Linked DNA regions of Caenorhabditis elegans. The protein of the gene in region 2 purifies or fractionates together with the protein of the main gene of each other region. This does not show direct contact. Each region holds a gene or a part of one and is shown on either strand. Other genes may lie near its edges. The genes, in order: Y32H12A.7, tin-13 and tin-10.

Evidence for each region.
Region 1: the proteins of tin-13 (region 2) and Y32H12A.7 fractionate together in Caenorhabditis elegans (co-fractionation; one large-scale study listed by BioGRID). This does not show direct contact.
Region 3: the proteins of tin-13 (region 2) and tin-10 fractionate together in Caenorhabditis elegans (co-fractionation; one large-scale study listed by BioGRID). This does not show direct contact.

Annotation. Positions count from the first base shown.
Region 1 is NC_003281.10:5,383,664-5,387,419, forward strand, and holds the start of Y32H12A.7 (ABC1 atypical kinase-like domain-containing protein), read right to left. Parts: upstream 1,744-3,756; 5' UTR 1,741-1,743; coding exon 1,558-1,740; intron 1,389-1,557; coding exon 1,294-1,388; intron 1,109-1,293; coding exon 919-1,108; intron 870-918; coding exon 288-869; intron 1-287. Other genes in the region: Y32H12A.8 (WDR59/RTC1-like RING zinc finger domain-containing protein), read right to left, coding at 2,175-2,243, 2,386-3,024, 3,181-3,531, 3,684-3,756.
Region 2 is NC_003279.8:8,758,633-8,761,871, reverse strand, and holds tin-13 (Mitochondrial import inner membrane translocase subunit tim-13), read left to right. Parts: upstream 1-2,083; 5' UTR 2,084-2,092; coding exon 2,093-2,209; intron 2,210-2,365; coding exon 2,366-2,575; 3' UTR 2,576-2,666; downstream 2,667-3,239. Other genes in the region: DY3.8 (SWEET sugar transporter), read left to right, coding at 2,877-3,152, 3,200-3,239. UniProt on the Caenorhabditis elegans protein: Mitochondrial intermembrane chaperone that participates in the import and insertion of some multi-pass transmembrane proteins into the mitochondrial inner membrane.
Region 3 is NC_003281.10:11,501,099-11,504,854, forward strand, and holds the start of tin-10 (Mitochondrial import inner membrane translocase subunit Tim10), read right to left. Parts: upstream 1,753-3,756; 5' UTR 1,737-1,752; coding exon 1,695-1,736; intron 1,126-1,694; coding exon 1,033-1,125; intron 35-1,032; coding exon 1-34. Other genes in the region: TM2 domain-containing protein Y66D12A.21, read right to left, coding at 1,932-1,983, 2,700-2,841, 2,904-3,018. UniProt on the Caenorhabditis elegans protein: Mitochondrial intermembrane chaperone that participates in the import and insertion of multi-pass transmembrane proteins into the mitochondrial inner membrane.

The DNA.
Region 1 (3,756 bases), on a different chromosome or scaffold from region 2:
TTTATTTTTAGTAACCATTTCGAAATCAATAATTTTTAAAAACAAATAACGAAAAAATGTTTCGTTTTCAAAAATCTAAAAAAATACCTTTTTTTTTTGAAAATCTATCTTCGGATTTTTGAAAAATAATTTTTTTATTGGCAAAATTCTAATTAATTTTTTATTTTTAAATTTACGCAATAAAAATTTGAAAAAAAAAAGTTTTTTTGCAAAATGAATTTTTTAGAGTGGAAGTTTATTTTGGAAAATTATTTCATATTTTTTCTACCAAATCTCCAATTTCTAACCTCTGGCTGTCCTTCCTCTGCAACCAATCGATTAATATAAATTCCTTCTTCAAATGTTTCCACAATTACATTTTTAGTATATCCAAGCACAATTGGAAACTTAATTCCAGTTTCTTTTGAACTAAAATTGTCTGAAAACTTCTTCAAAGCCTTCGCCTCATTTCTCAAGTCAACTTGTCGCCGAAGTACCATTTCAAATTGTTCAAGTGCTCCAGTTGGATCCAAATACCAAAGAGCCGGTACAATATGTTGCATTAACCATGCTCCACTTCTCAGAATTGAAAGATCCAATTCAATTTGCTTATCAACATCTTTATCAGCCACTTTAATAGCAATCCGTTGTGTTGTACGTCCTTTAAGCTCTGGGTATTCCTTTCCAGTAGCCTTCTCAAGTTCAGAGATATCTACAGTACCTCGATATACTTGTGCAATACATCCTGAGCCAATTGAAAATGGTTCAATCTCGAGAAATACTTGTTTTCCATGCAATTTCATAAATCCTTTTCCAAATACTTCATTCATTACTTTTTTCTTATCACGGAAGAATCTCTTGTTTTTAGTTTGAATATGAAGCACGGAGAGCTGAAATTGAAAATACAAATTGAAGATGATTAGAAAATCAAAATCTCACCCGATCACAAAACTTTTTTGTGAAGATGTCCCTTCGTGTACTTGCCCATTGTCCTAATTTAATAAAAGTTGGTCCAGAATGTTGAAGAGACCACAGAAGATATCTCCACCAAAGATTCTCGAATGCTTCTATTTTTGTCAGAGGATAAGTGAGAAGAATTGGAGAAAATCGAAGGAATAAGCTAATGCATCTGTAATTATTTTATTTTCTTTTTTTCCAGGAAATCATATTTTAGCATTTTTATTTTCAGATCAGAGATATAAAAAGTTGCCTTTTGGAATATTTGTACAATTAAAAATTGAAATTTATTTTTTTTCATTGTAACTCCAAATTAAAAAAAAATTGCAAGACAATTTTTTTCAGAAAATTGCTCACCTGAACATTTTCCTTATTGCTTTATAAGTGACAACGATCAATGTAATCGGTAGAGTTATTATGCCCATCATCGTTGATTTTTCCACTACGACTTTCTAAAAATCTTGATATTTTATGGGATTTTTTTCTTCGAAAAATTAAAAACTTATGCAAAAAAATTGGATGTGAAGAATAAAATTCTAGAGTTTTTGCGTAATTGAAAGTTTTAAAATCATTTATAAAATTTTGAAAGTTTGAATATTTAACTTTAAAATTCGATCTTACTTTCTGTGGAACAAGAAGCCATGGATCTTGATGCTCTGCTTCACATTTTAATGTCCGTAACCTTGTTAAAGACACAGCTCCACCCATTCCGAGCACAATTCCTAATTTAAAATTTCTAGAGCTCACGGCTCTGCTGTGAGCCCAGCACCTGTACAAAATTAACCTCGTCGACCCGAATATCATGTCTCTGGAAATATGAAAATATTGGAAATTCTGAAAAAAGTTTACAGAAGAAGATAAAATTCAGGATTCTAGAACCAGTTTTCAAATTAAAAGGATGACCCGAAAAAAATATCATAAAACAATCTTATATCACATAAAATCCAATCAGAACAAACAAATAATTTAACATAATTTTTGAGAAAAAAAAAATAGAAAGGCAATTTGATGGGCGCAAATCGATTCAAATATATATATACAAAATTATCACATATTGAAAATATACCTTATAATCACTAGCGATTGAAAGAATTTCAAAATTTTGAAAAAAATAATGGGAGAACAATTGAGGGGAATACGAAATACATTGGAAAAATGGCTATAAAAATGAGATAAAGATAACAAAAAATTTAACAAAAAATATATATATAAAACAAGAAGAAAACTGTATATCCTTCCTAGAACCACTTGCGTCCGTTAGTTTGCGCATCTTTTGGATCGTATTTTTTCGGCGGTTTGTACATTTTCTGAAAAAAAAAGATTTATTTTTAAAAAATTTCTTTGAATTTTATCTTGGGTCTGAAAATGTAGAACTGCTAGAAAACATTAAAGCTCATTTGTTATAGATATTTCAAACATTTAGAACTTTCAGAAACTATTTTTCCATACCTTTCCCTTCAAAATACGATTAATATGCTTCGGCTTCATTCTATTTGCTGGTGGAATCTTTCGTATTCTCGTCTGCATTTTCAAATCACCCCATGACCAGTGTGCTGTATCAGAATTTTCAACAATTAATTCATTGATATGTTTCAATAAATCTTTCTTTTTTGCCGGAAGCTTCGCCTCAATCTTAAATTTGTCAAGATCCGCAATTCCTTCCAACATCTCGTTGATTTTTCGTCGAACCTTCCACTTTTTTGCTCCAATTGCTCGTTTTTCCAGAGCAAATGTTTCTTCTGGATTTACAGGTTTCGATCGGAGTTTTAAAAGCATCAGCTCTCTTTGTGCCTTGTTCATTGCTCGGCGAGCTCGTTTTCCTTTTTTCGAGCTGTTCAAAGACTCAGTTGATCCACCAAGAGACGAAGATGAATCCGATCGAACTTCTGAACCAGAATCCGAATCAGAACCCGAATTATGCATATTCAGGAATCTAGACATTGATTTTGGATCTTTCGGTGTCTGTCGTCTAATTTCTTCAAATGTCTCTTTTCGTTCCTTCCATTCTTTTGGATGAACTTCCGAATCAACTAATTCCGCAAATGTTATCAATTTGGAATCATACAGGAACATGTTGGTTTCTAGCGGCTGAAAATTGTTGAAAATAGTACTTTTTAAATTCCAAATTAAAATAAAAGATCTGCATTTTTTTGATCGTGGAACGAAATTCAGATTTTTGTTTTTAAAAAAGTGATCTAAAAAAAATTTTGGGAAGACTTTTCTTTTGAACTTCTTGCCACTAACCATGAAATAAGTTCCCCGAACTTTAGTGATCATCATATCAAGCAATGGACGCTGCTTTGCATGTAAAGTAAGCAAATGTTGGAATCTTTTCCGTCCTCTCTCAAAATCAGCCAAATGTGGTGCAAAACGGAAAATTGCCTTCTGAGCCATTTTATACATTAATACAGCCATAAATCTGCGTCTATGGAAATCTGATCCCTCGTGCATACTTCTGAGCCATTCAATTTCTTCTTCACAATCCTCCATTTCAAGATATTTCGCGTTTGGAGCCGCCGGTTGAACTATATCTGTATTTCTGAGTACTGGAGACTTGTCATCATCGTTCTCCTCGTCTTCTTCAGTCAGAGAAATCTGAAACACAGAAAATTATATTTAAAAAATCAAGAACAAAATATTTCTTCTAAAAATCGAACAAAACCCGTCGCTTTCCAAATTGAGATGTTTTCAAAAAAAAGCAGACATTTTTAAATTTTAAAACAATTTTTGTTAAAAGAAAAACCAACATTTTCCGTGTAGTCATAACCACCAAAATAATTCGTAGTAAAATATGGAATCTTTCCAGTCGCCAACTGAATC
Region 2 (3,239 bases):
AAACATCTGAAATTTTGAGGTTTTGCCGCTTTTTTATATGGATAGTGTAAATTTTGAAACTCGGCGATTAACAATAAACATGTACCATTGAAAGACATATTCAGAGCCAGATGAAGGAAGCGAGAAATCATAAGCAGTCTTGTGTGAGAGAAGACAATGTCGTTCTTCTTTGGTGTTTGACACAGAATGAATGAATTCTAGAGAAGGAGGCTGAGAAGAGAAGGAAACAACATCTGGAAAGAGCACTAGAGCGTCGACGCACAGAGACAAAGGGCAATAAATCAATGGGAGAGTGTCATTTTGGCGCGTTGACAGTTTTTATCTCATTTGATGTGACCATGTGGTAGAATATTAGTATAGCACGAAAATTAGAAGCTAAATTTCTATTATGAAGGCGAGATTAGCCGCGAGAGAGAAGTTTGGTGAAATGAAAAGAATACGAAATGAAAGAGTAGGAAAACAATTTTCTCTAGACACCTGCATCTCTAAAACACATTTGATCCCTAAAAAGATTGAAATGAAAAAACAAGAGAATCGATTAAATGTGAGAGGAACTTGGGCAAAACATGTCTCTTGGTAATATGCAGATTAACAATTGAGTATATAAAATTAGGGCTGTACAACCGGACGTCCGGTCGTCCGAACCGGACGCACATGCGTCCGGTTGGGGGTAGCTATCCACGACGGCCGACAATTTCCGAGTTTCGCCACTCACTATAAAATTGCTGATTAAGTATAGTGAGTGGCGAAAATCGGAAATTGTCGGCCGCCGTGGAAACCTACCCCAAAACCGGACGCAGTGCGTCCGGTTTTTTTTTTTTTTGTGCCGATTTGTACAGCCCTATATAAAATGAAGGATTTGTTAGTGAAAACCGAAATCTACGTGACGCTTTGCATAAATTACAGGACCAGATGCATGTTTCACACATCTCCTTGTGGCCTTGAAAGGATGAGCGAATTTGAATTGAATGGTGGGAAAAGTAGCATAAGAAACCGATCGAATGAAACATTTTTCTGGTCGTATTGAATTACGAGATTATACCAGTTTCGCAACTAGTGTTAATTAGAATTAAACATACTCGTGGACATTAAACGACAAAAAAAAAGTAGATTTCGGATTTAATTTTAAACGCTACGCCGAACAATTCTCTAAAAATGCATGCTCATTCGATAAAACCTTTGGTCTATTTAAGAGATCGGAGACCAAGTGCGACAATTGAAATCGCAAGAGGTTAAAAAGAAACACTGAATTTGAAAATCACAAAGAAAGAAGGCGGCGTAATTAGAGAACGAAAATGGCCTTGAAATAAGTGAACAAGAGGCACCGGAATTATGTGTACTTCCAAAAATTACTTCGAAGATTTCCTAAATCAGTGAAGGTTTTATGAAGAACAGAGAGGATTTGTGAAAGCAGAAGCGTGATAAAAAAATGTGCGGGAAATGTTTTTTTTTTAAGAATCTGATTATTCTCATGAGCGACAATTTAAAACTTTTATCTGAGATTAAAAGAATTATCACGAATTACTCGGGACGAAAAATTTAAGAAAAATAGCTTCAAATTCAAATAACGACCCTTTAAAACAACTATCCATGCGAGACCCAGCTCGTAAATCGACACTTGCGCCTTAACAGAACGGCATCAACTTTTCTTGGATTTTTTGTATTTCTATCTCTTTTTTATCGTTCTAATATTTAATAAAAATATTTCAAATGAATATTAGAAAAAACTACACACCTTTTTTTTTTTAAATAAGTTACCTTCAAAGTTCATCAAGAATCATCGATTGAAAGTGAAAAGTAATTAAATCGGGAAAACATTTTCGTAAATATTTCGACACTCTTCTGACGCATTTTTCTTTCTTCTCACAAAAAAAAAGAAACACGAGAACAAACACGCCCATCTTCCCATACAATTGCATCTCAACTTTCGCGCCAACACAAGTGGACGAGGCCTAGAAAACGCGCCCTGCAGTTTTCTATACCGCGTGAATTAATGCATGTTTATGCTGAAAACTTTTCCTAAACGTTTATTTTTCAAAAATATGTTACTTTGTGAGCATGCCATATGATAGACTATTTATAGGAGAAGAAAATGGATCAGCTGCTTGATGTGGAGACGTTGAAGAAGCTGTCACCAGAACAGCAAGAGCAAGTGATCAGTGGTGTCAAGCAGCAAGCTGCCCTTGCCAATGCCCAGAATCTTGTCACGGTAAGCCAAAGAATTGTGAAAATGATGGAGTGGATGCCGAAATGATAGATTTGGGTCATCTCACACCAATTTTCAAATATCAAATTGAAAAACGACAGTGATGTAATTCTAGTCGGCGTTTAGAATGTAAACGTTGAATAATATTTTTGCTTGCAGGACATTTCTGAAAAGTGCACGAATAAATGCATCACTGCACCAGGAAGCTCATTGGCCAGTGGTGAAAAGCAATGTCTACAGCGATGCATGGATCGTTTCATGGAATCATGGAATCTTGTTTCTCAAACTCTTCAAAAACGTCTTCAAGAAGAAATGGCGTCTTCAGGAGGAATGGGTGGTGGATTCGGACAAGGACCGTCGTTTTCTTAAAAAAATGTTTTCAATTAACACCCATTTTCTGTTATTGTTTTTTTCCATTTTTTTTTCTTCGAATTGTCATTTGTAGGTAGATCAAAAAAAAAATCGAATCTTCTTTTGCTCTATATTGTTATCTAATTGCGGCAAGGAATATCCACCAGAATGGTTTTTTGCGGTAGTTTTTCGTTTTCATTTTCTCCGACTTTTTGGCGTATTCTTTTGTGTTTCGCCACATTTCTCCGGTACTTCTTCTAAATAGTTTTTAAATTTTAAGCTCAGTTTCAAACTACTGACCTGTCTCTTCAATTTCAGAATGATTGGCGCTATCAACGTTGCCGGACTCTTATTTAGTGTTTACTTCTACGCATGGTTACGTCCGGATCTTCAAGCAAATGTTCGCATGGGCTTCTATCGATATAAAGTTGATTTTGCAATATATTTCGGAACTGCTGTCTGGTTATTTTTGGCAATGTGTGTCGTCGCTCCACGTGTCTGCCGACGAACCAATGCGATTGCCGGAAATTGTGGAATGGCCGTTTGCTCGATTATTGTCATTGTAAATCATTATCTGCTGGAGAAAAAATGGGTGGTACGCAAACTTTATTTGTTTCAAATTCAACTATATACATTTTTCAGTGGGGTGGCTTGCTCTATCTCAGCAATATTATGTTCTACG
Region 3 (3,756 bases), on a different chromosome or scaffold from region 2:
TTGCAACACAACGATCCAAGCAGACGGCTTCTCCCTGGAAATTGAGAAAATTTGCGATTTTTTTTCCGAAAAAAGTGCCGAAAAACTCAATTTTTCGGAATTTTTACAGAAAATTTGTGATTTTTTCCGGAAAATTGCGTACAAAAATAAAAAAAAATCGCCAGTTTTGTTCAATTTTTGATTTTTTTTTCCCGATTTTTCGTATAAATCGGAGAAAAAATCGGTTTTTTAACAAAAAAATTTTTTTTTTAATTTTTCAACCATTTTTTAGATCTTTAGGTCAGAAATGTTCTTTTGCTTTCAATTTTTAGGGTTTTAAAAAAAATTGTTGTGAAAATTGGGTCCAAAAATTCAAAATCTCAGTGGTTTTAGAATGGAAAATGTTTATTTTTGAAATGTGAATTTTTTCAAATTTTTTAAACTTTTTCAAATGAAAAAATCAGTGATTTTTCCACTTTTTGAGCTAATTTTTTATGGTGTTCGAAAAAACTCCAAGCATACGGCTTCTCCCTGGAAATTGAGAAAATTTTTGGTTTTTTTCCGAAAAAAAGTGCCGAAAAACTCAATTTTCGGAATTTTCAGAGAAAATTTGTGATTTTTCTCCGGAAAATTGGGTTCAAAAATGAAAAAATCGCAAGTTTTTTTTTGGCAAAAAATAGAAAAAATCGATTTTTCAACAAAAAAGCTTTTTTTTCAATTTTTTGTGAAAATTGGGTCCAAAAATTTAAATTTTGATTTTTTAAGAATTTGTTTTTTGGAAAATTTCAGTGGTTTTAGAATGGAAAATGTTTTTTTTTTTGAAAAAAAAAATCAGCGATTTTCGGCTTTTTCAGCTAATTTTTCACGGTTTTCGATTTAAAAAAAATCGATTTTTTTCACATTTTTCAACTTAAAGACTATAAAAAGAGTACGAATCATAATTTTCCAGTTTTTTTTTTTTGAATAAATTTCATTTTTCTCATTGAAAATTCGCTTTATATTCTTTTTTTTCAGTTTTTTTTCTCATAAAAATCGATATTTTTCCAATTTTACCTTTGTCAATTCGGACTCTCTGAAGGCGGTGGCAATGCACTTTGCCTGACACGAATTGGTCATTCGGCGGTACATATCCGACATCATTTCCACCTGAAAAATCAAGTTTTTTTTTGGATTTTGTGTGGTTTTTCCCTTAAAAAATCATTTTTCTAAAAAAATCATTTTTCTATAAAAATTCAATTTTTCTGGGATTTTCCCCAAAAAATTCAATTTTTTTCGGAATTTTTTTCATTAAAAATTCGAGATTTCTGGAATTTTACATCTAAAAATAATTTATTTTCAAGTTTTCGATTTTCCCCAAAAAATTCAATTTTTCTCGGATTTTTCCTTAAAAAATTTATTTTTCTGTAATTCTCCTCTGAAAATCAAAATTTCTGGAATTTTCCACATAAAAATCCAATTTTCCTGTAATTTTATTTTTCAAAATCAATTTTTTCTGGAATTTTCCTCTAAAAACCCTTTTTTTTTAAGTTTTCCTCTAAAAATCACTTTTTCTGAAATTTGTGTATAAAAATTCGATTTTTCTGGAATAATCCACTGAAAAATTCAAATTTTCTAAACTTTTTTGGTTTCTTTCTTTAAAAATTCAATTTTTCTGAAATTCTCCACCTAAAAATCAATTTTCTGGAATTTTTCTTCAAAAAATTCCAAAAATTCACCTCAAGCTCCGCAACTTGTGCCATTTGTGCGTCCGTCGCCATTTTTTTTCGTCGATTTCTGTAGGGGAAAAATATACATTTTAATTAAAAAATCAACAAAAAAAAAGTTTTCAGGTACAAAAACTGGGTGAAAACCAGTGAAAAAAACAGTACAAATACAAAAATTCAAAAAGAAAATGTACAGGAATGTTCATTTAGTGTGCAATATTGACAAGAAAAAGTGAAAAAAAAAGAAAATTACAGACATCCATCGCAGGTGTAGAACGAGAAGTTGGTGTGACTGTCGAACGTGAAAAAAATAAAAATTTGAAAGAATTTTTGAAAAAAAAAGTGAATTTCAATTGATTTCCGGTGGTTTTTCAATTTTTTCTCTCGATTTTTCGATTTTCTCCGAAAAAAAAAAAGAAAAATGGAAATTTTTCGACCTAAATATTGTAGAAGGCCAGGAAATTTGAAATTTTGCATTTTTATTTTTTTAAAAAATCAAATTCCACTCAAAAATCAATTTTACTGGATTTTGGTACTGAAAATTCGAATTTTCCACTAAAAATATATAATCTTCTGGAATTTTCCACATATAAATCATTTTTATTCAATTTTTCTGAAATTTTCATTTAAAAAATCTTTTTTATTTAATTTTTCCCTAAAAATTCAATTTTACTGCAATTTTCATTTAAAAAATCTTTTTTATTTAATTTTTCCCCTAAAAATTCAATTTTACTGGATTTTGTTACTGAAAATTCGAATTTTCCACTAAAAATATATAATTTTCTGGAATTTTCCACATAGAAATCATTTTTATTCAATTTTTCTGAAATTTTCATCTAAAAAATCATTTTTTATTTAATTTTTCCCTTAAAAAATTCAATTTTACTGCAATTTCTCGTTAAAAAAATTTTTCCGCTAAAAATTCAATTTTACTCCAAAAAAATTTCTTTTAAAACTTTTTTTTCAACTATAATTTCCAAGATTTTCCAATTTTTTTTCCAAATTGTTGCTACTAATCTTATCATTTGGGCCTTCGGGCCATAATAAGCCATAGCGTAGGCCGTACCATCGGCCGGGCCCAGTAATTGTAGGCTTATAAGAATGATATCGACAAGCCAAAACACAAAGAGACCGCCAAGTGAGAACATTTTGATGAGACCTGCAACGAAAAATTCGATTTTTTTTATAATTTTCAAAAATTCAGTAGAAAATTCTGCCTACCTAACGCATAATACCCGAGATAAATCCGATCAATTCCAAAAAATCCGAGAAAAATCGATAAAAGTACTGTTGTGGTGTAGCTGACATGGGCTCCGTAATGACAAGCGCTGGGGACCTGAAAAATGCAAAATTTTGGTGAAAAATTGAAGAAAAATGCAGAAATTAGGGTTTTTTGGTCGAGAAAACCGACTGAAAATGTGCAATTTTTGGTTCTAAACTGGAAAAAAATCATTGAAAATGTGCAATTTTTGAACTAAAAACTTGAAAAATTACTAGAAAATGGTGATTTTTTGGTGCGAAAATTGAAATTTTTTTATTTTCTAGTGGAAATTTGAAAAAATCGGCTGAAAATTTGCAATTTTTGCACAAAAAATCAGGAAAAATCATTGAAAATGTGCAACGTTTAGCAAAAAAAAATTGGAAATTTGTGCAATTTCGGGCACAAAACTGGAGAAATCACTGAAAATTTTGCGATTTTTGGCCCAAAAAATTGGAAAATTACTAGAAAATGGTGATTTTTTGGCCGAAAAATTTGAAAAATCACAAAAAAAAAAGATTGGAAAACCACTGAAAATGCGATTTTTGTGCTTTTATTACAAATTTTTCAGAAAAAATAACAAATTACAGAACATTTTCAATTTTTTAATTGAAAAATTGAAGTTTTTGGTGATATTTTCCAATTTTCCGATGAAATTCGTAGTTTTTTGTTGGAAATTTAGCGAAAACTTCCTTTTCTGACTTAAATTTGTTTTTTTTTTTCAACAAATTTGTCAAATTTTTGATTACTTTTATGGAAAAAAGCATCAATTTTTGTGATTTTTCGATTAAAAAATTGGAAAAACGAGATAAAATT